3 linked regions of the Alligator mississippiensis genome follow. The protein of the gene in region 2 purifies or fractionates together with the protein of the main gene of each other region. This does not show direct contact. Links are inferred from orthologs where the notes say so. Each region holds a gene or a part of one and is shown on either strand. Other genes may lie near its edges.

Evidence for each region.
Region 1: the proteins of KPNA1 (region 2) and ADNP purify together in Homo sapiens (co-immunoprecipitation; 3 studies listed by BioGRID and IntAct, with this or other methods). This does not show direct contact. The link is inferred for Alligator mississippiensis from reciprocal best matches to the Homo sapiens genes KPNA1 and ADNP.
Region 3: the proteins of KPNA1 (region 2) and TCERG1 purify together in Homo sapiens (co-immunoprecipitation; 3 studies listed by BioGRID and IntAct, with this or other methods). This does not show direct contact. The link is inferred for Alligator mississippiensis from reciprocal best matches to the Homo sapiens genes KPNA1 and TCERG1.

What each region holds. Positions count from the first base shown.
Region 1 is NC_081832.1:12,679,890-12,689,957, forward strand, and holds the start of ADNP (activity-dependent neuroprotector homeobox protein), read left to right. Parts: upstream 1-5,942; 5' UTR 5,943-6,256; intron 6,257-7,067; exon of another isoform or gene 7,068-7,250; intron 7,251-7,823; exon of another isoform or gene 7,824-8,024; intron 8,025-10,068.
Region 2 is NC_081824.1:238,040,988-238,051,252, forward strand, and holds the start of KPNA1 (importin subunit alpha-5), read left to right. Parts: upstream 1-6,024; 5' UTR 6,025-6,134; intron 6,135-10,265. UniProt on the Homo sapiens protein: Functions in nuclear protein import as an adapter protein for nuclear receptor KPNB1. Binds specifically and directly to substrates containing either a simple or bipartite NLS motif.
Region 3 is NC_081832.1:64,408,993-64,419,367, forward strand, and holds the start of TCERG1 (transcription elongation regulator 1), read right to left. Parts: upstream 4,127-10,375; 5' UTR 4,105-4,126; coding exon 4,019-4,104; intron 3,556-4,018; exon of another isoform or gene 3,444-3,555; intron 2,842-3,443; coding exon 2,616-2,841; intron 1-2,615. UniProt on the Homo sapiens protein: Transcription factor that binds RNA polymerase II and inhibits the elongation of transcripts from target promoters. Regulates transcription elongation in a TATA box-dependent manner.

The DNA.
Region 1 (10,068 bases), on a different chromosome or scaffold from region 2:
ATGGAGGCTATAAAACAGCCTTTAGAGAATGATATGGATGGAATAGTAACTTAAGAAGAAGTGACCAAGATCTCATCTGGTGTCCCATGAACCAAAGGTAATATTTTCAAAAGTGCCCAAGTTACTTTTGAAAAATACCAAAGTTAGGAACTTAACTCTTCTTTCAAATGTAACTTGGATGCTAAGCCCCATAGAAAGTAACTTTTTATCCAGTTTTTCAATGTGAAACTTGCTTTGACTTAGCACTTGACATCATAGGTACAGACTTTTACTTTTACCTAAGATGATGCCCTCCCCCTGGTGGCTGGAGCAGAGCTGAGTGATGCCCATGAGGGTGTGGGGACAGATGCAGGCTGCCCGCTGCAGGCTTGGAGCTCCCCCTCCTGCTGCCCTCCTCCCAGGAGCTCCACACCAACTGCACCACCATGGTGAGTTGCCCCCTGCTGACCACAGCAGCAGCGGGGGGCACAACTCCACGCTGCTGCACCCACTGTCAGACAAGCAGGGGCCACCTTGCCATAGTGATGAAATCGGTGCAGAAATGCCAGGGGAAAGGCAGTGAGGCAGGAAGCCCTAAGCCTGCAGCTGGCAAAAGGGCAGGGAGCAGACAGCCTGCATCTGCATCCACCCCTGCCCTGTGCACAAATCTGGGGGGCATGAACCCCCACCATTCCTCCCTCCCTGGGAGTGTGTGCAGCAGCAGGGAGCCCTGCCCTGTCCCTGGGCCCCATATACCAGCCTGCCTGGGCAGTGTACCCAGGCCCAACCCCTGCTCTACTCCCTTTCTCACCATGGGGGCCTCAATCTGTGTCCCCTCCCTCCCCACCCACACACACAGACTTACCTGTAGGCAGCTGGTGAAGCAGCTCTCCACCGCTGCCTGAGGCTATATTCCCAGGTCACGTGCATGTATGCACACATGCATGTGATGCCCCCTGCGTCCTGCTCCCCACAGTTCCTTGCAGGCTGGAACTCTGGATCCCTGCATGATACTGGGAGTCTGGGACAAATGCCAGCCTGGAGTCATGCAGCTTGGGACCAGTTCCCATTTTGGGACTGTCTCAGTCCTGCCCAATTAGGGACAGGGTGGTCACCCTACCCTCTTCCCAACGCCTCGGGCCCCAACATACCTGGCGCCTATGCTTGACATATTAAGCCTTATTAAGATTAACGATTGTCTATGGATTTAAAAGGCACAGAAGCCCTAAAGTCTGCCATTTTGGACTTTTAGGGATACCTGTTTGCGAGAGAGCTGGCCTCCATTTTTTGTCGGCTTGCATGGGATGCACCTTAAACTGGCTGGAGACTGAAGCTGGTGCAAAAAACAACAGCTGTTACAAAATACAGCACCTCCTTGTGAGCAATTGGCACATTTATTGTGGGATCTACACTGACTGTTCATTGATCTAAGTAGAAGAATTGCATGTGTCCCTATCTGACGGACTGCCTTTCTTGTCAGGCCATAATGCCATTGCTGTGGTCATAAGGGGCACCTGAGCTGGTATTCTTCATTATAAAAGAAAGGGGAAAATGGTGAGAAGTTCTCCGAGTCCCTGGTCCTTGATCTGAAAGAGTGAATTTGGTGACTTTCTGACTACACTGCCAAAGACAGCTGCATGAGAGATGTTTTAAACATGGCTGAAGGGATGGTCCCGCTATAATGAAGGAACCAGGTAGGCTGATTGACTGGATAAGTTCCTGTGAAACCAATTATTTTAATTCTTATTGTAACTGCATTTATCATATAATTAATGTTAGGGTGCTGAAAGCCTAGGGATAGGCATTTTATTATTTTTAATCTAGGGGGAGAATAAATATTGCACCGTTATTAAACCAGCGCACTTTTTATAATCTTTGACTAGGTTGGTAGAACATCACACCTTTAGTTAAGCTCATGTGACTTCTGTGTTTTGACAAGTCCTGACTAAACAGCTTGTCTGGTCTGTTACTCAACTTTCAGTTTCTTTGTGATGCTATAATTTCATTGTTCTCTGGTCCTCACCTCATAGTTTCCAACAGGGGACAACATCTGTTTTCTTCATGTAAAAAGCAAGCAGAGGAAAAATGTTTGTCAACTTTGCTGTTTTGCCTTACAAAGTGTCAAAAATGGGGAGATGGCCTTTCTACTTCTCCTTCTCCCATCTTTGCAGGTCATCTTAAACACCATTACTCATGTTCCCAATCATGTTGCAACCTTAGTGTCAACCTTGACTCCTCCTTCCTTCTGTTCCACCTTGCTAAGCATTTGACCCACTGTTTCTATCACTGAAGTTAGGAGGAAAACTCCAACTGAATTCAATGGAAGCAAGACCAGCTCTCTCATGTGTTATTTCTTATACAATATTACAAAAATTCAGCCTTTGCTCTTTGCTGCAACTATCAAAGCTTAAGCTCAAGACCTAGCAATCTCTTCCATTGACAGTAATGCCAACTGTCGCAAAACCATTCTGAGACTTGGAATATCAAAGTCAAAATAATTCCGACTTGCGATCTCCTGATCCAGCCCTCACCAGCTGGGAAAATCCAGACATTTAAGTGTAGGGAAAGGGGTGGGGGAGAGGGAAGGGACTGGGAGGAGATCGAGGCCCCCACGGTGAGGGAGGGAGTGGGGCAGAAGCAGGGGTAGGGGTGACTGGGACCCCGGGCAGGGGTGGGCTGTCCAGAGGTGCGGGGAAGAGGCACAGTTCACAGCAGCAATGCACATCCCTGGGGAATGCACGGGGGCATGTGTCCCCCACAGGGCAGAGACGGGCTGGGGCTCTGCACCCTGCTGCCTTGGCCCAGGAGCTCAGCCACACAACCCCAGTGCAGTCAGGGGACTGGAATGACAGCTGGAATGTCCATAGTATAGGTGCATATGGAGGACAGGGAAAAGAGAACTGAATGTTTGCCCTCCAGATGTTCTGAGCTGCCAGAGTGGCCTGCAGGTGACTGGGGGAAACTCAACAGTAGTTAGAGAAGGCTCAGGGCTGGTAGCCATACCCAAAAATAGAAGTGATGCAAATATGACTTCAAGCCTCGAAAGCTCATGTCTCCTGGGTCACAACTCTGCGGTTCTGAGCTGTGCTTCTCTAGACACTCTTTCCTTCATACACACTTGCATTTTCATATTACCATTAACATGAGGAACAGCTTCCTTTAAAGCATTTGTAAAATCTTACCTCTGCTTTCCATTGCTTCCTCCTTTGTTTCATGAATCTTGCTCCTCTTCAGTTCACGCAGCTCTCCCTGTATGCTTTTCTGAAACAAACGTGCCTTCAGACTGCAAGCTCTGTGGTCCAGGAACTTTCCGTTTTTTTCATGTTTTTATTATGGATTTTACTTGCTATAAAAGCTGTATCCATTGGCAGTGCTACATAAATAATTACTAATGCAGATTCTAAGAAAGTTTCTGAATATCAGAATTTACAAAGCTTTCCTCTTTTGGTGCTCTCATACTTTCTTTGATACTCTCACAGATTTTTTTCTTCATTTTTTTTCCATGTGGTAGGAATACCATTCAAAATTCCTGGAAAGAGAAGTGTTACTATTATACTTTAAGGAATGACTTCAACTGACAAATAAAAGAATAGCCATTTATATGTTACATGTAATAATCTCCCTACAGTTCCTAAGCATAATGGCACATAACATAATTAGTTTACTGATACATCCCTCTCAGCCCTCCAGTTTCTAAATGCACCCAAATACCCCGAGGATTGTCTCAAATCTAAATTAATGCTTGGCGACTTCAATTGCATTTATCTGTAACTACTATTCATTTTCTTCAGTTAGGTATTTTTCTGTTCAATGTAAATCATCACCATTACTTAGGAGCATCTGCTCAGAACAGGTAGCTGCCATAGAGGTTATTCTTCTACCACAATCCTCTCTGATAGCCAATCTAATGTAAAGTTGTTGTTTTTTTCTTTTAGGGGTGAGGGGAAAGACTGTGTGAATAGTAATACTGTATTAAATGTGTTGCAGACAGCAAACCACTACTAAGATTGTAATTGGCTGTAAAAGGAAAACCAAAATTTTAACCAGCTAGAGCCAAGTTAGGAAAATAATAGCATCTGTTGTATTGCAATATCAGCAAGTAATAGCCAAAATGGGATCGAGTATAAGAGTAAGAGAAAAAAAAAAAAAAAGAGGGAAAACGTAAATGTCATAAAGCTTCTGTAGATCTGTTTTTCTTCTTACATACACTTAAGTGGACGTGAAGTTTCATAGATTTCATAGACATTATGGCTGGAAAGGACCTTGGAAGATCGAGTCCAGCCCCGGCCCGTTAGCTGTTTGCATCTAACTGATCTTGACTGATCTACATTTATCATAAATACTGTTCATCGTATTTCCTTATAGTGCACTATAAGGGGTTTTTATAAACACGTACTCTTGCAAAGCAAACTAAAGTTATGTAAAAGTCAAAACACTATTTTACTTTGTTTAAAAGTTGCAAAAGCATCGCCAGGTTGCACGATTGAGACCAACTCAACCTCACCTTTCTAGAAGCCCAACAGCAGTAAACAGCATGAACAAATTTGTTGGTACAAATAAGTCCTGTGTGTTTTCGTTCAGTTATAAAGGAAATACTTTTAATGACTTACTATTTCTTATGTTCACTAAAGTGAATTTACTGCGAAAATGCATGTTTAAATTCTGGAATGATTTGCAGTCATTGACAGAGTAACTGCTAATATCTAAATTAAAAAAAAAAGTCTTAACCAAGGTAAAGTTTGTAGTATTTACTACCTATCTCAACATGAACATAACTCTTTGTGCAAAGCTTCCTCTCTTCCTCTCCTTCCCTGTCCTTTATATTGAAATGGCTTTATTCCTTTTCATTTAGTACCCCACGTCTTTTAAAAGTCCGTCCATAGCATCTGACAAAGTCGGCTGCGTCCTACGAAAGCTCGCGCCTCCTTGAACGAGTCAGGAACCACCTCGCCCCACGTCAGCATTTGCAAAATTGGAGGCATTTAAAAAAAATACGGGACCTAACACTCGTGAAGCACAAGTAACTTCCGGCAAGCGTTTCTACGTTTTCAACGACGATTCGAAGAACTTGTCGGGTCGCTCCCTTGGGGTCCGAGGGCTTCAGGAAACTGACATCCCCCGCCACGTGGTGCGCGGGACAGACCAAGCTGTTCTGCCTTGTGAAAGCGTGCCAGCACTTTGAAACGAATGGAGGCCTTTCGTCCCTTGTGACCTGGCCTGTAGCTTTGGGCCCCAGTGCTGAGGGAGGGCGGGCCGGCCGGCCGGCCAGGCGCTACAGCTCTGAAATAACACCCTATCCTTGTGGCCCTACAAGGACTCTTGACTGTCCCTCCTCCCTCACGCCTCGTGAGGGACGAGGCACAGCCGGGCTCCCCACGTGCTGCGCGCTGGGCCCCCAGCCCGGGCCCTCGAGCGGGGAGCGGGTGTGAGGGCGGCCCCACCCCCCGCCTGCGCGCGCACACCAGCGCCCCCCCCCTCCTCCGCACACCAGCGCCCCGGCACGAGAGTGCGCGCTCCGCCGGGGTCACGTGGGGCGTCACGTGGCCCGTGTGCGCCGGACTCGTGCTCCCGCCCCGGAGCGAGGGGCCCCTCTGGGCAGGATGTAGTCCCGGCCGCGGCGGAGGGATAAGCGCGAGGCGCCAACTCCCTCTCCGGCCCAAGCCGCAGGGCGCGGCGCCTCCTAGCGGAGCCGGGGCAGATCCCGCCGCCCCTCTCTCGCGAGAATCCCCCTGCCTTCCCCCTCACTACCTCCGGCGGGGTTATGTAACCCGCTCCCCCACCCCACCCCGGCCTTAAAGGGCCCGCGCCGCGGGGAGGGGATGGGGCCCGCGCGGGCCGCGCTCCATCGGGGCTCGGGCCCCCTCCCCCCCGGGGCGCGGCCCCCTCCCCTCCCGCCGGACAATGAGTCCCGTATGCTAATGAGAGTCTCGCGTCACTTCCGCTCTTTCTCGGCCGCCATCTTGGCCAGGGCAGGTTCTGGGCAGGAGGGACCCGGCTGTATTGTCTGCAGGGCGCCCGGGACCCCCGCCCCCGCCCGACACCCCCGCCCGGGGCCGCCGCCCGCTGCCCGCCCGCCCGCCGCCCCCCCAGACACGCGCCTCCCGCCCGCCCGCCGCCCCCTTTGTCTCCCCCGCGCCGCCGGCTCCTCTCCGCTCCGCTCCGCTCCGCCCGCCCAGGGACCCGGGCGGCGCCAGGGAGGCAGCGCCGCGCACCCCCGCCCCCCGCCGCGGTGCTGCTGCCGCGCCCGCCCCGCGCCGCCGAGGAGCGCCCCAGCCAGGTAGGTGCGCGCGGGTCCGAGCCCACCCCCCCCCCCCTCCGCACACATGTTGCAAAGACTTCCCTGCCCGGGCCCGCGTGGAGGTGCCCCGAGTGCGGCGTGAATGGCCGGGGCTGCGGCGGCGGCGGCGGCGGGGTGGGCTCGGCGGCCGGGCCGGGCGCGGGAGGGAGGGAGGGAGGCCGGACAGCGCTGCAATGAATGGAGCCGGGGCTGCCTGCTGGAAAAGGCGCGATTCATGGCCGGTGCCTGGAGATGGAGTAACGTTCAGCCAGCCACCCCCTCCATCCCGGGCTGCACCTCCTGCAGCCCATTGCTCAGACAAAGGCAGGGGAAATAAAGCCCCGCGATGCTGCTTTCTGTCTCTGCCACTGCAGGGTCTCCCCCATGCCCCCCTTCAGATTGCCTCAGGTGATGCTTGCAGGCGCCGTGGCTTTGCAAGAATAAATGCACCTAAGTGTGTGGTCCCTTTTTTTCTTTTTTCTCTCTTTTCTCCCCCCCCCCCTGTTTCTTTGCATTCAATCTGTATTGTTGCTTCTGGTATCTGGCCATGGAAGAAAAATACCAGCCCCCACCCAAAATGCACCGCAGCCAAGTCGGTGGCGAGGAGAGATGAGGGTTGGAGTCAGTAGGGGGCGCGTTCTCTACACCGGGTAAGGCTGCTGCAGAGAGGGGGAAGGGCCCCAGATGCACAGAGAGGAGCTGCCACACAGCGCCTTCTACAGACCTGGGAAAACGGGCCTGGCCCTGAACGCTCAGTTGCTCTTATGAGCTGACAACAGCCTGGCGCAGGGTTTAGCAAGTGGAGCAGTGATTTAAAAAATCTGATCACTTCATTTATTTGTTTTCTTTTTTTGAAATTGCAGCTGCCAAAGCGTGTTCTTGGCATCACACCTGAGTTTCCCTTGCCATCCTTGGTACTGCTTCCTACTTAATACTTTCATTCAGTTCGTAGGGGTGCGTTGACTCTGCCCACTTGACTCAACTGTTAGCACTCCTGAAGTTGACAAAATACTTGTATTCAGAACTTGTACAGATGAAATGGGGAATTTGAGAGAACAAGAGCATGTGCAGGATTTCTGCCTCTTTACCAGGCTTGCGTACTGAACTCCATCGAGAATGTAGTAATTGTATAAAAACTTGATCGTGGCTTGTGGTGCCATCTGCTTTATAAACTTTGCATGGCTTTTTCACACATTCTGAATGCATGGCAGTAGCGATGTAGAAACTTTAACAATATGGTGTGTTACTCGAGCGCTGAATGCTTTATCTGTAGACCGACTAGGCAACATGCTGGTTGGACTCTTGGAATTCACTAAAGTTTTGATTCCCCCCCCCCCCCCCCCAACTTGGTAATTTAAACTTTTTGACAAAGGCATAAGAAAGAGGTTTTGAATATTTTAAGGGAAACTATGACACATGATGCTTCTGCCAGCCTCTCACTTTCAACTGAATATTGAGTATTTTGTTTTTTGTAGAGGAAAATATGCACTTGAGGAAAAAGGATGAGACGTTGTCGCCACATGTGCAACAGAGCATGACCTATGTTATTCAGTAAGAATAAATTTACCTGGCTGCTTGGTAGCAGTAACCTGTATTACGTGCAGGCAGCTTGCATTCAGTTTCCTGTTCCTGGGTCTCAGCTGAACCATCTGGAAAAACTCAACTTTCACTCCAGGAGGATTGTAATAGTAACAGCCAAGAGGATTCACTGGCAGTTACCTTCCTTCCAGATGAGGAAAATGGGCCATCTCCTCAAAATTGGTTATCACTTTTAATGCAAAACAAAAAGATCAATTAATGATCTGCACTATTCTCGATATATATTTACAGATGTTAGACAGTGATTTGGTATTAACATCAGTGTAGTGAAGTCTCAGAGTATTAAAAGAAATGACAGATGAGAAATATACTCTGTTGCTACTAAAAATTGCCACTTGAGGCTGATTCATTGTAACATGGTTGTTAAATCTTTGTTGAAGATGCTTTTAGTGCACACTAAGATAAACCTCAATCAGAACAGAAAAGGTGTTATTTTTGATGCACAGTTAACATATATCTATACTTGAATATTAAGTAGAATGTTAAAATGTGCAAAGAAAACTGACAGTTGGCTTTTATTAGACATACAGGTTATGAATATAATATAGTACTCGGTGTTTTGGTGGGTTTTTTGGTGAGAGTTTTGCTACTTCAGATTTACTTTGGAAAGTGCGTGCAGTACAGAGGTAAAATATAGCAGGTCATGAGTTCAGAACTAAAATTGCTAGGAAGATTCTGTAATCTTCAGTGAGAGACTAAGAAGCTTCTCAGTATGTGTAATACACAGTACCATTTATCAGAAGATGTCCCTTGGCATTTCTGAATTTGGTATTAACTATTTCCAAGGATGCCTTAAAACACTTTAAGCAAACAAATAATTGAAGGAACTTCAGCTAAACAATTTGTTAACTATGTACTTTCTGAAGTGGACTCTCTGGGTTATGAATTGGCTCTTAAATTAGAAATTCAGTCAGCTTTAACCCTTCTAAATAAGTGCTGGTATAAGCCTACTTGATAAGGTAAGTTGTGCTTCCCATCATGCTAGCCTGGATAATGGATAGTTGTTCCCTCCAGTTTTAGCTTTCCATAGTAATTGAAAATATTGAAACTGACTATTAAAAGGTCTATAAAGCAGTGTTTCTGAAATGCGTAACCATGTCTCAGCAACATGGGGTTGTCAGATTAGAAGAGTGCATAACAAATCTAAAATGTACATTTTATGACTTCAATGGTGAAGGTGGCAGCTGGCTTGGTTGGTACAAAGGAAAAAATGGAGTAAATATTTGGTTAGGAGAAGACACAAGAGTTTAGGAGTTCTGACATGCCTATTTTGGGAGATATGGTATATGAATGGTTTTCAACCTTTTTAGACTTGGGGCACCCTTTGGAAAATGCCAGCTCTTTGTTTTCACTCATTTTTTGACTTTGGAAAAATAACAGCAACTTGTCTTGCAAAGAACTCAGAAAGACCACAGTAAGTCAGTGTTTTTAACACTGTGGATTCCTATTTTAAATTCCTGGGCTTATCTTGTGAATCATGTTTGCACACCTACCAGTGCTAACATTGTGTGGCACCCCTGAAAGCATCTCAAAGCACCCTGATAAAGAATCACTGCTGTAAATTAACAAGTCTCTGTCCTCTTGGAGGCTCAGATGAGGTGTAGAGTGGGCAGACTGGCAGTATGCAAGCATCAAGTAAGCAGATCTGGTCTGCATTTTATAGAGGTGAAGCTAATTTCCCCACTTAAATATTTGTGAAATCAGATTTAGAGAAGGAACAACATTGAGGATAAGCATACTGAGATTAAACCATTATTATCTTCACCAAGATCTGAAATCTCTAGAACTTTAATTCAGATGCCAAAAGAGAAATCTAGTAAATAACTATGCTGCTTACAGTTGTTAAAACAAAACCGTGCTTTACTGGAAGAAGCAGTGCGTTAGTTTGACCCGGCTCCACAGCATCTGCATAAACCAGGTGCTTAGACCAATTATTAGACCAGTCTAATACCTGATTGAATCAGCTTTAGCTAAAAGCACCAAAAAGCCACACTAAAGCACTTGATCTATACAGAGATCAGGTGAGCTGTGTCCAACTAACACGCTGCCTCTTCCGGGCACGCACTGGGCTTGGTGTGGGAGGGCACTGAGTTTAAAGTAAAGCACCATTTGTTTTTGGTTTTAGTTTTGGTTTTTTAACATCTGCAAGAAGCCTATCTGACTTTTAAAAATGTGCTCAGTTGGTAGTCACTGGCCTTAGGATACTTAAGCCC
Region 2 (10,265 bases):
CCTAGTTTTGCCACTCTTTGCTTCCCTCATCTCAGGATCTGGAATTCTGATCACTTCCTTCCAAGATGCCCACCAAAGGAATCTGGAATCTTCCATGAGTTCTTCCCTTTTGTTTAGGACAAGATCCAAGGTAGATGAGCCCCTAATTGTATCCTCAGCCTTCTGGAACAGACAGTTGTCCTCCACACAAGTTAGGAACCAGCTGGACATTGTTTAACTGTGTTGTTTCATAGTTGCATAGTTTCATAGTTGGTAGGGTTGGAAGGGACCCGAGCAGAACATCAAGTCCAACCCCCTGCCATGGCAGGAAAGAGTACTGGGGTCAAATGACCCTGGACAGGTGTTCATCTAGCCTCCTCTTAAAGACCCCCAGGATAGGAGTCAGCACCACTTCTCTTGGAAGTTGGTTCCAGATCCTAGCTGCCCTGACTGTGAAGTAGCGCCTCCTGATATCTAGCCTGAATCTACCCTCTGCCAAGCTTGTGACCATTATTTCTAGTCACTCCTGGTAGTGCTTGGGGAACAGGGACTCCCCCAGTGCCTGCTGGTCCCACCTGACTAGTTTGTAAATGGCCACTAGATCCCCCCATAGCCTTCTCCTGTGGAGGCTGAACAGGTTCGGGCCCCTTAGCCTCTCCTCATAGGGCCTGCCCTGCTGACCCCTGATCATGCAGGTGGCCCTCCTTTGGTCCCTGTCACAGGGCACCTCGGTGCCCCTGCTCCTGGAAAGGAGAAACTGCCAGGGAGCGAGTGAGTGCGCCCTGGCCTGACATAACGAGCCCAGCTGAGGCTGGCTCAGGTAATGAGCGCAGCTGCGGGTTGCCGGAGCAACCAAGGGGAACCAGCTGCCTGTAGGAGGCAGGGCCTGGCCCTTATAAAGCTCAGGGCTGAGGCCAGGCTGGCAGTTCTCTGCCAGCAGCCGGAGAGGCAGGAGCTCCCTCGGCCGAGATATGGGGAGAAGCCCGACGGGCAAGTACAGCTCATGATAGCCCTGAGAGGATTGGGCACAATGGTTAGCCAGGGGGCTTTATGTTTGTGTTATAGCCAGGAGGCTCTAGTTTACGTTTGGCTCTGTATATTACACCCGGAGGTTTGGGTGAGGCTGTAGGGGTTGGAGGAGGCCTCAGCGGGGACTCACAGGGGAGTGTGAGACCCCGGCGCCAGTGAGGGCGCGCTAGGCCCTGAGATTTACAGGGCAGAGTTGTGGGCTCAGTGGAGCTCAGAGAGGAGCAGTTAACCTCAATCACAGGGACCCCAGAGAGTGTGGGGTGCCCTAGCGCCAAGAGGGCGCATTATTTTCATAGCGCCAGGGAAGGCGCAGCTCGCATGCCAGTGCGTGAGCAGCTGGCGGCGAGGAGCGCGGCCAGTGGGTCGCGGGCGCAACCCGTAGGTTGCGGACAGGGACCTAGACCCCGGATTGCGTGTGGGGGAACATAGACCCCGGCCCCAGGAAAGGGGCGGTATTATTGAGTAGCCCAGAGTGGGCACGGCGAGCCCCAAAGAGGGGGAGCGCCATTGTACGTTATTGAGTAGCCCAGTGTGGGCACGGCGAGCCCCAGAGAGGGGGAGCGCCATACTGAGCAGCCCTAGAGAGCGGGGCCATATCGAGGAGCCCGAGACGGGCATAGCGAGCCCGGCCGCAGGCTAGTGCGGTAACACCCCTCAGACCGAGGCAGGGCGCTGCGGTTGCCCCGAGAAGACAGGGAGTAGCAGCGCGGTGAGCCAGGGTCAGAGAGGGTGCCCGTGCGGTTGGCCCATAGGACCGGAGGCCCGCTAGAGAGTCCCTGGGCGGAACCACACCAGCAGGGGAGGCCCAGAGTGGGCCAGATGAGAGTTCCAGCAAGAGGCTGGGCATGAGAGAGGGAGCCCAGAGTGGGCCACACTAGAGAGGAGGCCCGGGAAGCGGGTGTACAGACCGGACAACGTCTATTACATCTGCGAGGCTTGGGGCGTGGTATTAGGGGCTGGTAGGAGCCACACATAGCCCATAAGGCTAGGGTGTCCAAGGAACACCCACCGTATCGGGAGACCCCCAGGGGGTCCGGAAGAACCGCGGGGACAGAGGTCTCGAGTAGCCGTGCCCAGGGAAGACACAAGGCAGCCTCCCAACATTATATTGACCAACAAGACGTGGCGGGCGAGAATTAGAGGGTGTCTTGGGCCGGCCTGACACGGAGCAAGGGACCTTGAGGAGATCACGGCCCTCCGCGAGGACCCCGCCGTGACAGTCCCTCTCCATGTTGTCTGCATCCCTCCTGAAGTGCGGTTCCCAGAACTGGATGCAGCACTCCAACTGCAGCCTGACCAGTGTCGCATAGAGGGGGAGGATCACCTCCTTGGACCTGCTTGAGATGAATTTGTGGATGCATGACAAGGTATGGTTGGCCTTCCTGACCGCATCCCCACACTGTCGGCCCATGTTCATATTGGCCTCAATAATGACGCCAAAATCCTTCTCTGCCTCTGCACTGATGAGAAGGGAGTTCCCCAGCATATAGGTCTGCTGCTAGTTCTTCCTCCCCAGGTGCAGCACCTTGCACTTGTCAGTGTTGAAACCCATCCTGTTCTCATCTGCCCACCCCTGTAGCCTGTCCAGATCCAATTGCAGCCTATTCCTTCTAGCGTGCCCACTTCTCTCCACATCTTAGTGTCATCTGCAAATTTGAACAGGGTGCTTTTTACCCCTTTGTCCAAGTCGCTGATGAAGATGTTGAATAGTGCGGGCCTGAGGACTGAGCCCTGCAGAACGCCACTGCCCACATCCCTCCAGGTCGAATAAGATGTCTGGAAAACTGCAGCCTCCAGCAGATGTCTGGAAAACTGAAGCCTCCCATCAGTACCATACCATAGCTTTTGGATAGATTTATCACCCCCTTGAAGAGTGCCTCATTCATCTTCTCTTCCTGATTTGGGAGCTTGTAATAAATCCCCATCATTATATCAGTGCTGCATCTTTCACCTTTCATGTTCATCCAAACGCATGCTACTTTTCTGTCTTGTTCCCCCTAACCAGGGCACAGGGTAGTAAGCCTACCCGGTCACAAAGCACCAAAAGAACAAAGGAAAAAGCTAAACTTACTGCAGTGGTGAGCCCGAATGGGAGAAAAGTCATGCTGGAATTCCCAGATGGTAATTAAAGCAATCAGCTGTGACAGCCAGCAAAGCAGTGAATGGGACACTGAAGCTGAATACACAGCTGATCAGTGCGGGAATTTAAAAGAGAGCCGACTGAGCAGTCAGCTCTCCTCGGGTGAAGGGAATGGCATGGAGGGAGACCCGTGGGACCACAAAGTGACAATGGTGGCATGCAACCAACCTAAGGGACTCAGGAGAGTATTTTGAAGAAGTACTTGCCCACGGAGCAGGAAGGATGAGGTCGTTGGAGCATCCAAACCAGTGAGTCTGAGTCCGGTGGGTGTGGGACTGCAATCCAGAGACATGAAGGAGGGGAAAGAAGAGACCGAGCGTGAACATGAGTTTGGGGCATTGGCCCAATATAATCGTGTCCTGAAGGATAAGGGTAGGGACAAGCTGTATGATGGTCTGCTTGGGACCCGTGTGGGAAATAATGGGGCAAGCAACCAAGAACAAGAAACCGGCTGCCTAGAAATCAGTCAAGGCAACCCAGAGACTGAGGCTCCCACAGAGGGGACCTAATGAGATTACTGCTGAAACATTTGGTGTGGTAAGGACAGGGGATGGGAATAGGGGAGCCCTGTGAAGAGGAGCCAGTCTTCTAAATTGTAGATTTAACACCAACTTTGTCTCACAGGACTGTGTCCATCTTTGGTTCCTTCCTTTTCCATCTAAGTTGTGGCAGGTGAGTTTAAAGGAGACTATCCAGTCCAACAAGAGGCTACAATTTTACTTTGGTGGCAATTGCAAACCTCAATGTGATATTCCAGTCATAAGAGCTGTCCTATCGGGTCTCTATGATACCGATCAGGTTATATTTCTTTCACAGGCTACAGCTTCCAGATCATCTTCTTTATTTCCCACACTTCCTGCATGTGTGTACATGTATTTTGCATTTTGATGTACTTGCTTCTTTTTTGCACCACTTGTTGCTGTCCCTTGGCTCTCTGGCACCTTTCCCAGAGTTGAATTGCTTATTCCAGTCTTTTCCCCTCTGGATCGTTTGCTCTATTACTGGAAGATTTTGATCACCACCCCCATAATTAATTTGAAGCCATCCTTACTAGGTTGGCCAGACAATGCCCAAGATGCTCTTTCCCGTTCTGGTCAGTCAGACCCCATCACTTGATAGCAGTTCTCCTCCCCAGAACATCCATCCATTGTTAAAAAATCTGAAGCCTTCATGCCAACACCACCATCTCACCACACATTTATTTCCATGGTGGTCCCTTCCTGGGCCTTTCCAGGGAGTATCAATGAAAACATCACTTGTGCTCAGTCTCATGCCAGGAGCCTCAGGAATCTTTAAAGGACACTGCTCACTGTTGCTCCTGGCAGTGTTGTTGGTATCTACAAGGACAGGCAGGAAAGGGTTGTGGTCTAAAGGATAGATGAGCTTTGGTAGTCTCTCTGTGACATCCTGAATTCAGAGGCAGACACACATTTCTCAGGACCCCAAATGTAGTCAAGCTGGTGCCTCTGTCTGCTGCAGCAGGGAGTTGACAAACGCCACTCTTCTCTTCCTTCTTGGAGCAACGGCTGTAGAGCCCCCTGTCCCTGGGGCCCTGTAGTTCCTGCTCTGTAGACTGCTGAGTCCTCTGGGTTGTACTTTTTCTCCTTTCCTTGCCTCTGCCTTTTCCTTAGCTTTTCCCCCTGCTGTTCTAGGATGTCAGGGGAGGGGGATTTCACAAAGAACAGTGTCAAAAAACACTGATTCATCTGGGTGGACTTTTTAAAAAGGTATTTGTAGGATAGAGTTTACAATACTTGAGAAATTAAAAAAAGTGTCATGTTGGGCCTAACTTAACTATGTCACACTTACCCCACACCTCTTTTGTACACATGGGCACCTCCCTTTCATGGTGCAGTCCTGTAGCGCTATGGTTCCAGACTGAGTTAAACCATGTTGGTGTTGCTTCCTTGTGCAGCGCTCTCAGAAACACTTCATGGCAGAGGACAGAAGCCCTCGTGCTGCAGGCAACTGGTGCCCCTGAGGCAAAGGCAAATGCAAGGTGCACGTTTTTGCCAAGGATTTTGTGAAGGTCCTTTGCAAAACATCCTCCCCCTTGGAAGGACTGCAGCCCCTCTCCCCTCCTCCAGAGGAGCCGCACAGCTTCAGGCAGGCACTGTGACCCGCCGTGCAGCCAGTGGATGCGACGCAGTCCAGGCTGTTGAGAGAGGACGCCATACGCTATGATGTCAGTTGCCCCTGCCAAAGACAGGCGTGAGGGCAGTGTTGTCAGGTCTTAAATATGAAATTATCGCATTGGAAGTTCACAATGATCACATTTGCTGCAAAACTATCGTACACTGAACAAATATGCAAATAAGTATACAAATACTTGTGAAGGAGTGGGAACTGGATCATCAAAGTTGATGCATTCCTTTGAGGCAAGACATCATAAGAAAGTGCTGACGGCAAGCCGCAAAGTCAGCTACAAGTCCCCAAGAACAATTTGGGTTTCGCATCTCTTGCATAAATGAGATGCCTCAAAAATTATCGTTCAGCCCCAGAACTTTTCGTGTAAATACGGTAATTCTCGCACCCCCCCCCCCCCGGTGACGAGGGGCGCAGGTAGCAGTTCTGGCTCAGCGGCCCCGCCCCCGCCGCTAGACCCCGGGTCAGGGCCGGGCGGTCAATGACGCCGCCGCGCATGCGCGGGAGCCCTGAGTCGCCAAGGCCTGGCGCTGGAAAACGGGTTGGAGAGGAGAACGGCGTGTTGCGCTGCACTCTGGGAGATGTAGTCCCGTGGGCTCGCCCGGCCGTAGTAGGTATGGAGTCTGTGGCTACTAGGGTCTCGCCTATTCCGCCCCACCCTCCCCGGCCGGAAGTGGGCCCCGTGTCCCAGCGGGCTGCGCGCCGGCGCCGGAAGCTACGCGCCGAAGGTCGGCGCATGCGCGTAGAGGTCCCAGCCAGCTCCGGGCAGGCAGGAGCCGTGCCCGCGCGCTCGGGCCCGACACGACACGCGGCGGGGCCGGGCCGGGCTGACGGGCCGCAGGTAGCGGGGGGCGGGACGGGGCTGCCCGTGTTGGCAGAGCTCGGCCGGGCGGGGCGGACGCCGGGGCCGCCCGGGGTTGGAGGCGGCCAGGCCGGGGCGGCCCCGGGCGGGAGGGGGCCGGCGTAGGCACACACCCTTGGTAAGCGGGCTCCTGCCCCGGGTTGGAGGTCGCTACGTTCAGTGAGTTGCTGGTGGCCCGGCTGCCCCCCGGCTCGGGAGTGCTGCTGTGACTTGGGGCTACTGTTTCTGCAGGCAGAGGGGGCAGAAGGATTGGGGCTCTCCTGTCCTCATGCTGTCCAGCCTCACCTCTTGCTCTTGGTGACAGCTGTGGCAGTAAGGGTGTGTCTGCAGCAGCCCCGGGTGTGACTACTGCTCATGTAAACATACCAATGCAGGCTTTAAGCTGCCAGCAGGGATCCATCTCCTATTTACCTAACTTTGTGGGTAGATTTTGCATCTGCATTGAACTCTGCGCTGTCAGGGTTGCACTGTTTTTTGGCATGTGAGGTGGCTAGCTTAAAGCCAGTACAGATACAGCTACATGAGCTGCAGTCATATCTTTGACTAGTGGTGCTCAGCTTTTTCCCTTGGTGGGCCAGATGGGCCTTACTTGGTCTGTTCATGGGCAGGTGTGGTGTGGCTCCATCCAGCTGCACAGAGGGGGCCAGGAAACAGCCCTGCCCAATCCAGTCCTGTGGGGGCATGTAAGGACAGTGAGGAAGGGGTTACGACCTGCCCCCAACCCAGCTGCAAAAGATAGGAGCAGTAGGTGTGTCCCAACCCCAATTCAGCCGGGGTGGGGCATGACCCAACCCTGACTCAGGTGGGTGGGCGAGGTAGGGAGTGTGGCCCAGACCCAACCCTGAGGTGGGGAGAAGGAGGCATGGCGCACCCCAGATTTGGCTGTGTTGAGGGAAGGGGCCATGGAAATTTGGCAGCGGGGGGGGGGGGGTGGCCATTTCTGTTTCACCACTAAATTTCTGTATCCATGGGGAGCTCTGTGGGCCAAATGTGATGGCTCTGCAAGGCCACATTTGGCCTGTGGTTCAGAGGTTGAGCACCACTGGTGTAGGCAGATCCTTAAAATTGTGGCATAAAAATTGGGAGGGTGGCTGGATGGGTTGCATCACCGAGGAAACCTTGAGAATAGGGTTCTTATCAACAGCTGATTTCTGTTGCCATAAATTTTCATGTAGGTGCAGTTACAACTTTGCTTTCTGGTAGAATGCAGCCACCCCTGGGAATTAGAGACTATCTGCTTTTGGTTTATTGAGGTCTCCCTCCATTTGTTTAAAAACATTCTGTTGTATCACATCTTGGCTGCTGCTGCATGTGACATGGCTTTTTCCTTTTTAACAATCAGAGTGCTATATACTGGTGCATTTGCTACAAATCTCGTAAATATGCTGATGGGAACCCTGGGTCTTATATACTGAGCTCAGTGTTGTATTTCTCTTGGATAACCAATTCACTTAGAAAGGAAAAAAATATATAATTAATGCTACATTACAGGAAAAGAGCTTGATTTACTCCCAATAAAGTAGGTTTGGGTTTTCTTGTTACAGGTTCTTCAACAGTTGCTGAAACATTCTTAACGAGGGATCTTTAAGCTTAAAACATGTATTTAGTTGCCTTGTCTGATTTTTTCAAAGGGAATAGTGTCATAAGTTCAGCGCTGCTGTGCAACCCGCTTTTTCTGCTCAGTCAGCTGAACCTAGTAGAATAATATGCTTTATTTGAGGCTGCTGTTCTGTAGTTGTAGGGCTTGTGTTGATTTCCTTTTAACTGTTTGTGGCTTTTTTCCATGAGAGTGTGGAATGTTTTTCAACAGTTGTTGTTCTGGAGGGACAAATGACAGATTGACTTGAAGTATGCTTACGTGTGCAGAAGGAAAACATTTCCCTTTTTAATTCAGGGAAGTATGGCCATATAGCAAGGTGCATGAAGTCATTCCAAATAAACCACTGTCTCTTTCAAAATGGAAAATAAGTGAAGAAAGGAGTGTATAATAGGTCAGTGAAATATAGGGATTAGAAGAACTAAAAAGGGATGGAAAAAGCAAAGAGTATATATGCTTTCAAGTGTATCAGATACAAAATTGAAGGTTCAGGAGAATCTTTTTAGGTGTTCTGGGAGTTGAGGGAGCAATTGAGAGTAAAATCTATCTAGAGAAAAGCTAGATGGCTGCTTTCTTCTTTACAGCAGCAGATACTGGGGAAATACTAGTTTCATACTTCATCTGTTTATTAATAAACAGATAAATAAGTCAGATATTGAGATGCGCTAACAAGAGGTGTTAGAATGCATCATGGAGCAGCAAGTCAGCAGGAGCAGATAGTATAGATCCAGAAGTTCTGAGGGAACTTGTGGATTGCTCTGCTAATAGAAGTGTGCAGTCTTCCATTAAAAGTTATTACTAGCATTGGGAGAATTGGAAAGAAATACGTGTACTTATTTTAAGAGAATCCTGGGGATCATCCTGGGAACTGTAGATGAGTCATTGGTATAACTTCTGAGTAGATAAGTCAAAATAGTAATCGACTGTAACAGCTACTTAAGTCCTTAATATGAAAGCAAATCAGAATAGCTTTTGTAAAGGAAAGTTATCTATCTGGTCAAATGTAGCCTTTCAAGTCAGTGTGACAAAGGGGCTAGATGATGTGGATTCTAGCCTGTAGTTTTGGTGGGGAGCACTTTGCGGAGGTTCAGTGTAGGCAGCCTTTACTAGGTCAGGGCAGCACGTTGGGAGGAGCCCTGATTAGCTTGCATCTGGTGCAGTGGAAGGGCTTAGGTGGCAGGGGAGGTGGAGGGAAGCTACTGTGTTGCCCACAGGACAGTGGTGCGGTGGGGGTTGGTGCTGCTAACATGACAGCAACTCGGGGCAAAGGGGAGTTTGCATTGCCCAACCTTGCTGGCAGTGTGGGTGGGGGAAGCCTTATGATACTCATGTGGCATGTGTGCTACTCATGTGGTGATGGGGAAGGGTGCTTGTGCTGCTCTGCTCTGCCTGGGCTGCCCTACTTGTGCAACTGGGGTCTTGAGGACCCCACGTGGCTTGTCAGCCCTGCAATAGAGGGAAAATATAGAAAAAAAGAGAAATACCAAGGAGGTGAATGGAACACAAAACTCTAGAACTCTTGGTTCAGAGATGATACCTTTTATTAGACCAACTAAGAAATCACAAAAAAATCATCTTTCTTTGTAAGCTTTCAGGCACACACGCCCTTCGTCAGGCTGAAGGAAAATAAAAAATGGTTAAAGTCCTTATAGGTAGACAGTAAACTTAATTTTGTATGGAGGAAGCTGAAGGTGTATGTCTGTTCCTCTGGGTCCATGAGACTTTCTTTGTGTTAGTTGAATAGGGCACTTGTGCTTGCGTTCCATATGATACAAGAACAAGCGGTTGGGTTAATCAAATGGAAGAGGAAATAAATTAAAGTGCTAAAGATAAATACTACTTTAAACAATACATAATTAATCTGTAGAACTCAGTGTCACAAGATATTGCAGAGGCCGAGGGCCTTGTAGGAGTCAAAAAAGCATTAAACATTTCTGTACAGAGAGGGAAATAAAAATGCTGCATATCAGGGGTCAGCAATGTGTGGCCTGCAGTCTGGATGTGGTCAGCAGATGTGGGGCTTTGGCAGTGGGGACCATGGGTGTTTCTCTGTGTACTGCTGTGGGGAGAAGCCAGCTGCAGACCTGCCTGACTGTGATTCAAGGTGGGTTATTCCAGCCCAGAGCTGGAAAAGATTGCCTACCACTGGTGTATCTAGTGTGCCCTAAGGCATAAAAATTGTGCTGACTACTAACTTTTAAGTGTTTCTCTGTAGACAGGTTTTTCTACATTTTTTCCCCTTCCACAGAATCATCTGATACTTTGGTAACTAATGGACAAGATATTAACCAAATAAAGTGCTGGATTGTTTTAGCATGGGAATCTATTTATTGTCAAATACTGGTTAGAGTGCTAGAGAACATAAATAGAGACCTACTTAACTTGTGCCCGGGCAAAGGAATTTTCATGGCTTGGTTGTGGCTCAAAGACCTGATTTTGCAGGCATTTCCCTACAGCCCTGCCCCTAGTAGCTGATTGGCAGAGAGGTCCTGGGGAGCCAACCATCTTGGCTG
Region 3 (10,375 bases), on a different chromosome or scaffold from region 2:
ATTCTGTGGTACAGACCTGGCCTGGACATCTCTGGTGAGAAATCACTTTGGTTCATTGTGCAGACACAGGACAGTCACACGATAAGAGATACAAAGAAAATGTAAAACCTAAGCAAGTTTTCCATTACAACAGCAGAGTAGGCAATTCCATTACAATCTGGCATGGTTTTCAAGGTTTTAATATGAAAACATTAGGGGAGAAAGACTGCAACTTCAACACAGCAGAAACATTCAATAAAACGTTTTTGTCAGGTACCTAACAGATTCTCCATTAGAGGATTAATTTGACAAAAGACATTTTTACCACCTGCTCAAAGCTGATCATAAAAAATCCTAGAAGTTTGATAAATTGGCATTAATTTGATACAGTCTGATAGCATTTTAAGTTGTTATATTAATCACCATAGCATCTGGAATTTTTTCTCGACAGTGCCAATTCTGTTATCTATTCTGATCAAGAAGCGCTCTTTTTTTAAGTTACTGTAAGCATTTATAATCAACCTGCTTGCTCAAATTCATCTGAAATTTGTTGCACGAGGGGAGTGTCATATAATGCTAATGATTCAAACTGGGGGTCAGTTAAGTAAAAGGGTCCTGCAATACCATCCCATCTGAAAACAGCATTTTACAAAAATCACTAGTTTTTCAAACATTTTGTGTACACAGAACGTTCAAACTAGGGCCCTGACTCTCCCCAAACTCATCTCAGTCAGTCTAATCTCAATGAATGGCTATAAACAGCCCTGAGGGGAGACAAGTATAGTTTTTTAACTCCAGGTCTTTACCAAGCTGACACCCTTAAGAGTGAAATGCATGCATGCAGCTAGACTATTTACAGGCAGGCTATTGCCACAGAAACTGGGCAGCTCAAAATGACCCACATTTCCTTTTGAAAGTTTTTCCCCAAAACAAAAAACTGTCTTTCAACTACATTAAAGGGTTGCTGTGAATTCTAAGCAAACTCACAAAAGTGAGAAGCATGTAAAGAAAGTGAGAACTAATGACAGAAAATATAAAAAAAAATAAAGCAGGGCAACAATTTTGGCTCATGCTCTTCATCCATTTGCTGTATTGCTGTATTGCCTGACTGCAATAGGAAAAGAGCAAATCTCAGTGGCAGTTGGTCAAAAAGTTCCTCAGGCCTAATCGTCCAATGTAAACGAATTGTAACATTTTCAGATTCTTGGGGCTTTTCTGGTGCATGCTTTGGAAGTATGGGCAAAAGGGTTAGGATCAAAACAGGGAGCGGGAACAACAGCTGTGGGAGCAATGTCAAAAGCGTGGAGGCAGTTTCTTTGCCAACCTTTGCCTCTTCAGGCTGTGCTCCGGCACTGCTACTGAGGGACAAGCAAACCCTTAAACAGTAACTATTATAAGTTCAATATCCTAAAGATCACTTATAATTTGGATATACAAGGACAGTAATCAGAGCTCTGTCAAAGAGCAGTGTTTCCATAGAATTATCTTCCCTATAAACCCTCAATGATTAAGGGGTCACCCTCAAAAGGACCTTTACTCTCTAGGAGCTCAGCTCTGTGAAAAGGAATGACAGCTGGGCCCCTTTCCTTCTAGTGACTTTTCTTCCTCACAAGCCTGTCAAGCCATCTCTCTCTCCTTCTTCCTCCTCCCTCAAACATATACCCACGTATCCTCCCTATAGCTTCTGCACCAGACCATGGGAGGGCCCTTTCCCTCCACTGCTCCCTAATCAACAATAAGAGCCCAAAACTGCCCACCTTCTTCTGCTGCCACCAACAATGGGGAGGGAGAAGAGAAAAAAAAAAGGCCTTAGGCCGACCTCCTTTTCCACCTCAAGAAAGTTCCAACAAGGCAAACTTGATCCCTCAACATCTGCATCACATCACAACCGTTCCAACCAAGCTCTTCACCCTTAAATACAGCAACACCACACACTGGCTGCAGCTGCAGTGCATACTGGAATTTATCTTTGTCAAACATGAGCAATAAATATCACTCACATCTCTTACTAAGCCACTCTTACTGACCCCTTCCAAGTGGCTGTGCAGGCTACGTAACAGAAAGGCAGAGAAGACACCTTAGCTGTGTAATGCTTGGTTTTCAGTAATTCTGAGCATGGCTGTACCATGCCAATGTTTTTGGAAGGGTATGATGCACTGCAAGACAACCACAACTCTGCACTGGCCAAGAGTCTCTATTAATGATTTTTTATGTGATTTTATTAGGTTAGTATTGATGACTTATCAAAACAGTGATCTACTATTAACACTTCCGAAACTGATGCAAAATGATTCACCTAACACAGGGGCAGGCAATTATTTTGGGCGAAGGGCCGCTTACTGAGTTTTGGCAAGCCATCGAGGGCCACTTGACAGGCAGCCAGGGGCAGATAAATATTAATTTTCTAAATCTTTTATGGGCCCCGTGGGCCAGACAGAATGGCCTGGCAGGCTGCATCTGGCCCACAGGCTGCATTTTGCCCGCCCCTGATCTAAGAGGACTCTGACCCCCATCTTTTTCAGCATTTATTATTGTCTTCTTCTCTGCTTTAAAGACTTCTGGCTGTTGCTTGCCTTATCACTTCTACCCACATCAAAGCAAAAAGAAAGCAACCTGACCATTCGCAAGCTCTTTACCTGTAAATGTGGAGGCCCCATTGGTGGAGGAATCCCTCCCGGAGGTGGCATTGGAGGCATGTTCGGATCAAACGGAGGACGTCCAAAGGGCGGCCGAGGTGGCGGAGGTGGACCGCGCATCATACCGAAAGGTGGAGGTGGACGCATAAGAGGTGGCGGGCCTCTCATAACGGCATTTGGTGGCGGAGCTGGACCACGAAATCTCAGTGCCTGCTGCTGAGCCATTCTGTGTCAGGGCAGAAGGAAAAAATATATTTTTGTTTGCTGAATAACTATGGGATGGTCTAAAAATCGTGTGCTGCTTGTATAAAAAGTGAAATTAGAAAAACCAAAAGGATGTGACAAATTTAACACTCAGCGACCAGGATTTAAAGTGCAAGTGCTTTAAGAGTTTCCCCACCCTGGTCTCACCATTTCAGGTTCACTACTCTTGTGTATAATTTTCTTTTTTAGTCAGAAAAACAAGTAACATATGGATCGGACGATTTCAGAAGGAGCAGGTGCTGTGCAAGCTTCCCTCAAACCGATCTGCCAAGCACCTCAAACGTGACCTGCTATATACCCATGCCTATAAACACGCGCATCCTGGGCTCTTCGAACAACAGCTGCCAATTGCACCCAGGGTTTTATTTCTTTTGTAACGTGAACAAGCATCCACCAGGGACTCGGACGAGACCACCTACATCCTTTTCACTCGTGACCCAAGGCAGGAGTCAAGCCCTGATGTGAAGCAGCAAAGGGCTGAGGTGCTAAACCCGCGGTGCCACCCAGCCCAGTACGCAGGTACCTTAATAAGTGCACAGATAGAGGAAAAAAAACAACGTTCACCTTTGCAACCAACAAACGCTCTTCTGACGCTCTCAGGAAAACAATTGTGCCCACCATTTAGTGCCAGTGCAATACCGACGTTGGCACGGAGACTCAAAAAAATAAAAATAATCTAAAAAAACCAGAGGTTACAATAAGGCGCACGGCAACACGCACCGATTACACCGCGTCTGATTTCAGTTCGTCGAGCACACACGGTACGTTATCGGACGGACGGCGGTGCTCTCCCCTACCCTGCGGGTCTTTCAGAAGAGGGCAGACGAGCACCTGGCCGGGGCTGTCCCGGCCCAGCGCTTTCTCCCGCCCGGGGCAGGGGGTCGGACTCGATCTACCAAGATCCCTTCCAACCCGAAAAAAATCAATTAAAAGAAACTCTAGCTGAGTGGCGGAGTTGAGGCGATGGCCGGAAGCGGGGCCCGAGGCAGCATCGCCCCAAGCCCCAGCCAGGCCCGGCGGGGGAGGGGGAGAGGGAGGGGAAGGGGGCAGGGCCCGGGAGGCCACCTCCCCCGAGCGCCCAACGGCCGCGGGACCGGGGGGAGGGGGGAGGAGCGCGGAGCCCCTCAACGCGGCGCTACCTGATCTCGTTGTTGTAGCGCTCCGCCGCCGCCGCCGCCGCGTCCCCCTCGCCACCTCCACCCGCGCCGCCGCCGCGCTCCGCCATCGCAACCTCGCCAGCCCCAGCGCCGCCGCCGCCGCCGCGCAGGCCCCACCGCGCTCCCATTGGCTGGCGGAGCCGTCACTCGCCGCGCGCGGGGGCGGGACCGACAGGGATTGGCCCGCGCGCCCGCCGACTTTGAATGAGGGGAGGCCGACGAGCGGTGATTGGCTGAACCCCACCGCCTCACGGCCTCCGCGACCTCGCGTCACGTGGCGGGTGACCTCGGGACGCGGCGGAACTGAGCTCACGTCCCGCGTCAACCAATCCGAGGTAAGGGGAAAGGAAAGAACCCGCGCTCCTCCAGGCCCGGCGACTGGGATTGGAACCAATCAAAGATCAGAAGGCGGCCAATCAAAAACCGGCGTGATCAGGAATTCCTAACCAATCCCGGGAAGGCACGAGTTCCGGGCCGCCGCCCCACCCCCCAGAGCCTGGCCGCCTGCCAGCCCGGCAGGAAACGAAGTTCTAATTCGGTAGCCAATGAGGGGCTGTTTGGATAGGTGCCAGCCAATCAGGCCGCGTTCGGTGATGCTGAGTTCCATCATAAGGCCGGGGTGTTGCGTGGCTCGTGTTTCTACGTTCTAAAGCCTGGGGCTGAGCGGGCGGCGGCACGTGGGTTGGGACCGACCCAGGAGCCGCCTCTGGCTCCTTTCAAGGCACGGCCTGTGCCCTGCCGCATACCCCCCACCCCCATTAGATAGATGGGTGTAATCTATTTTATTTATTTATTGGGAATATATATAAAAAATTCTCCTCCTAAGAGCATAGTGGCCACTAATGTGTTGAAATTTATTCCCAGATTGCAGGGGTTGTCTTTGCCTACATGGGACAGGCACAACTTGGTTAGTTTAGCTGTGTGGTAACAAGTCTTACGAGAAACAAGCTAATAGTTGAGGTAAGGAATGTTGCCTACCATCAATTGAAAGTGATAGGCTGTAGCAAATCCTTGTGCACTGGCATTGCTGAGCCCTGAAAACAGGAATTGTCCAGACAAAATTAGATCTTCAGAGGTGTCAAAAACATCCCTAGACAATTTACTGGGTATTGCGTGAGTTAACTGATCCAGGGCCCCTGGTACTGACATTTTGCCAATAGGAACCAAAAAAGTTGTTAAATATAGCAATGAAATCACCAAGGTGGCAACATTGCCATGCACAACCACTCACTAACTCCACTGGCTGCGTTAGCGTAAGCAGAAGTTTGCCCACACAGCAAGGCGCTATGCTAAAAGTGTCCAACTGGGCAAACTGGAATCCTGTAACTTTCACAATGGGACAACTTATGTGGAAATAAACACTTCCAATTCTCTACAGTCTCGTTCTGAAGAAAGCCTATTTATAAAACAGTTGTTTTTCCCAATATCCATCAGGTCATACTTCTCCCCACCATTTGGCCCCTAATTTTCACTGAGCCAGGCCCTGAGTGACTGGTGTTTTTGTGAGAGTCCAAAACCCCATTATTATATGGCAGAGATTTTCAAAATCGCCTTGAAACATCATTTAAGGTTAGGCTAGTCAAAGATTTTAATAAAGTTAACAATTACAAGAAATATTTAAGTAGAACTGGGCCTTAGCTGCAAACCGGGGATGTATCACTAAAGGTGCAATAGCACCTCGGAGCCTACATCATTAATGAGTCATGGACCAAGAGCTCCTTGTAGGCTTTTTACAAAACTGGTATAAAAAAAGAGACCATCCTTTTTTCCAAAGACCATAAATAAAAGTTTCCTTAAAGTTCTAGGAAATGGGATTACCTAAGACTTCTTTCCAGTTTACCAGCTGGGTCTATTCTGCACTTTGCTTCTGTCCCAGCCAGAGACGGCTTGTCGGTCTGCTAACTTTGGGAAGGGCTCTAACAGAGGGGTGTGGTGGTGAGGGGAGATTGCTTAGGGAAGGGAGAATTTTGAGTCATGACTCCTTCAGATTTTGCTTCAATATCTTTGCCTTTGCTTTTCATGCACAGTATAGATGTCAAAGATGACATGCTACTTTGCTGAAGGTTTATCTGGATACAAAATATACAAGGTTCCTTCCATACAAGCTCTTTGCAATTCTCCTTTCATTCACTAGGAGATCCCCTTGAACAGCAGTAGTGTGAAATGATCTCAAGTTTCAGTCTGTTCAGGTGCTGAAAAACTTCAGGGCCCTGGTTTTGATTTAACATGTATGTTAGGAATCATAATAAATACATTCTTAGAAATATGGTTCCACTTTTATGTCATCCTTCATTTAAAGTTCCCAAATTGCATTATAGATATTAATTAAACCTTGTAATGCCCACGTGAGGTGGATGTTTTTATATCCATTATTAAATTACCTTAACCTTAGGCAGCTTTTACAGCCTGTCTCCACCTTATTACTAAACCAGGCATCAGATCAGGCTTCAGAAGTTTTTCTTGGCAACCATGGATACTAGAAGAATAATTAGAATATTTAAAATCAGAAATGAGAAAGTAAGAGGTGTGTAGGTGGTAACAAATAAGCATGTCATGCTAGGTGTTATCTATTGCTTTTTATATAGACTGAAAATTCCCATGGGACAAAAATCAGTATCCTAGAGAGATGCCTGAACCAAAACTCACTTCATCCAAGTAGCCTTATGCTTTGAGGTGGTCAGATCATCTTGGGCCTATCTGATGTGCAGTAACATTACTGGTGATATAAGTAGCAGAGTGTAGGGATTGCTATGGTAGGCAGTGATAAATGGACTTAACTAGGAATTAAACAGGCAATGTCTCAAATGAGAACATTCAAGAACAAAGACACAACAGTATAGCATCGGAAAATTCTGTGCCAGGGCACAGGCTTTTCACCTCTTGGGGAAACTTGGGTCATTTCAGTGAGGTCTGATGCTTAGAACAGAAGACAATTTAGGCTATAGAAATCCTGCCTTGGTGTGGTGGCTAAAACCCAGCATGTTACCCTGTGTCTACAAGGTCCCTCTTTCCCACTATGTCCTATTTACAGCTCCCAGTCATTTGGATTATTAGGATGTAAGATTCTTTCCTATGTGGCCTGACGTGTAAAATTTCTAACTGGAAAAAATATTTCCCCAGCTCCTTTGATGTTGCTAATGAATGAGCTCTTTTTAAGTTATTCTTATGGCTGATAATTGTACAGTAGCTTCTGGGCAAAAGTGTCAGTAATGTGGGCATGTAGACTGGCCACTAGCATCAAATATTCATGCAGTCACAGATGGGAGTCTACAGTGAGTTTGCACAGAAGTGGAGTCTGTCTCACTTGCTCTTTGGTGAATGTATCTAAGCATCAAAAAGAACTTGTGATTTGCTTTTTCAGCTACATTTTATTAAAATATAAAAAAAGGAAGAAGTCCTTTTGCCAACTGGCATTTTGTGCAGAAATAAGTTAAGCAACTCAGAAAGCAAGCATCAGCCATCCCTCTCATCACACCAGACTGCAACTGGCCTCTGAGTGGATGCATAAAGTTGGAAGAAAGGCTACAAAGAAGTTTGCCTCCTGCCCCTAAATGTTATGGTCCAAGGGCAGGGAACTGCCAGTATTAGAGCCACTGCAGCAGTGCTCCTCTAGCAGTATTAGCTATTCCTACAAGGAACAGAGAGAAGGCAGGGCATGGCCTCTAGGCTGGCTCCACTCTGAGGAGCAAAGCTGGTGGGAATTAAAAATGCATCTTCTTCCTGTGCCTGGTTGCATGGGAGGCATTGCATTCTTAAGTCCAGGGAATTGTTCCTTAGGCTGGGTCTACATTACAGACTTTGTACTAGTATAACTACGTCTGTCAGGGATGTGAAAAAGTATGATGTGGTGACACATGACTGCTGGTAGAAACCCCTTTTTAGCAGTTTAGCCTGTTTTGCTCATGAGAATGGGTTACTGTATGGTTCAAACAGTAGAGCTTCATGCTCATAAGGAGTGCTCATTCAGTTTAGTGTACGGATATTTTCATACCAGTGTGGATTTGGCCTTACTTGGGTCCCTACTTCAGGAGAAAGTGACAGTGTCTGCTGATAACTCATGCTGCAATCTTGCCTGCAGCTTGAATTTCTGCAAATGTATAGCTTCCTCCAGCACCACTTAGTGGCTAAATACAGAATTGCAGATTCCCATAAGGTTGAATGTGGAAATTCTGCCGTGCTGATTGGTTTGTTCTGTCTCCTGATAGCACCTCACTTCCTGAAAGCCAGAAGATGTTAAGGTGCCTTCCTGCCTTCATGGTTACAGTCAAACACACATGAGTTATGTGGGCAAAACATCACAGAGAGACAGGTGAACAGGACTCCTGTGCTAAAGCCAACATAGAATAGGGCAGAAGGCCAATGAAAGACCGTAATAAGATGTTGCACCTCCTTATTCATTGGGGCTTTGAAATTATTAATTGAATGGATGCCACATGGTGTTGTGAAAGAAATTCAATCTAAGTTTTAAGGAATTTTTAATAAAATACCATTTTTGGTACATGACCTTGTCCTCACTTTTAGTTAAACCCAGCAAGAGAAAGACCACTTCACTCCATGAAGATGATAGAGAGAGCATGTTATATTGCTTCTGCATCACTGGTGGGTGCATAGGCTGGAAGGACCAACATGAGGGTAACAGTCTGTAGGCATGTTGGCAGAACCTTCCACACCAGTGAGGAGAAGGAAATCAGTGGTAGAAGGAATACAAAGCTGTTACAAAATGTGGTCCATTTACATTTGTCATTTATTGCATAGTGTATTGTTGGCCCCTCTTGTCTATTTGGCATTTAAGTTCTTCGGGTCAGCTTACGTCTTCCTCTTTATTTGTACAGCACCTAGCTTATTGTGGGGTAATGCACAGAATAAACAAGAACAACAAATCTGGATTGATTCTTGGTCATTGCACTAAGTTTACAAGCTGCTGTTTACATGCCACTGTCATAGCAAGAAAAGCCTAACTGGGCATGAATTTATCTAAACTACTAAAGATACTCTTAACAAGGAACAAGAATACATGGATAATCCATTCAGAAGAACTTTAAATTCACACCCTAGCTATTTCCAACTAATTCACTGTGTAGAGAAACCCACAGTTCAGAGAAAGGAAGAAGAATGCAGATCAGCATATAGCTACCTTACAAACTGTGGCCAAACAGCCAGTCGTTTTCAGAACCAGCATAATAACCCATTGATACCGCCCATTTGTCTCCCTGCTGGAAAACAGCTGCCTGTGTTTTGGTAGTGCAGCGCAGTTATAAATACTGTCCTTCTTTCCATCCCAAATTCTGTCATAGAAGGCAATGAATCAGCCACCCTGAATAAGATACTGGCATGCTGAGCAAGTTAGGCAAGAAGTAGGTTTCCCAGGAGACTCTGCCATCAGGATTGCCTGAGGATGCAAAGGATGCAGTTGGCTTTCTGGCTGCTACCAGGTCCATGGAATGTGCCCCGTGACTGAAGCAATGTACTTGGGGAATTGGTGCATCGCATGCTGCCTTATGCAGGAACTAGGAGTAGGCTGAGCCTGAGGCAAACCACGTCGACTTGGCAGAATTCCTCCTTTAGCCTCATGTTGGCTTGTCAGGCTCATCATCCAAGAACGGTTAAGCAAACGATTAGCATGGTGCCCAGGCCACCTGCCCTCACTATATTCTATTAGATTCTTCCTTTTAGAGTAAATCATTTTTTTGTTGAACCAGTATAATTGGGAGAATTAAAATCTTGAACCTTTACAGTCCTGTAATGTTAAAAGCTTATGAGTTCAGATGCCTCTTTCCTCCATCCTCACTCCCTTCCTTTCTTCAAGATGTTTAAATCAACTGAGCCATTTTCACTGCAGACAAGAGCAAAGCCCCTTAACGTACTCAGAATTTTGGATACTTTTTGTAACCAAATTCTTACTAAAATGGCAGGCAGTTGATACTGGGAATGCTCTAAAATGCCTGCAGATGGTTTGCTTTATCGGATACATTCCACCAATATTGATCAGGTATCAAGGACAGATCTAGATGCTGCTGCTACTTGGCCAAACATCTATTTTATCTCTGAAAAAAGGAGAGAAGTCTCAAAGCAGTGAGGAAAGCTCCATAATGCATGTGTGGGGAAGAAGGGGAAGTAAAGGCTTTTCTACAAAAATGAAGAGCATGTAAAAGTCTCTCTCTTCTCCTTTCCCTCCTTGCTTCTTTCACCATCAGCCCTCTACACTCTCTCCTACTGCAGGTTTATACACACATTCCTCCTGTTCTCCCATCAGTATGAACCCCTGACATTCTCCAGTCATTACAAAGTGAGAGGAGGACAGGGAGCAGGTCTGCCCAGTGGATGGCACCTGCAGAAGCT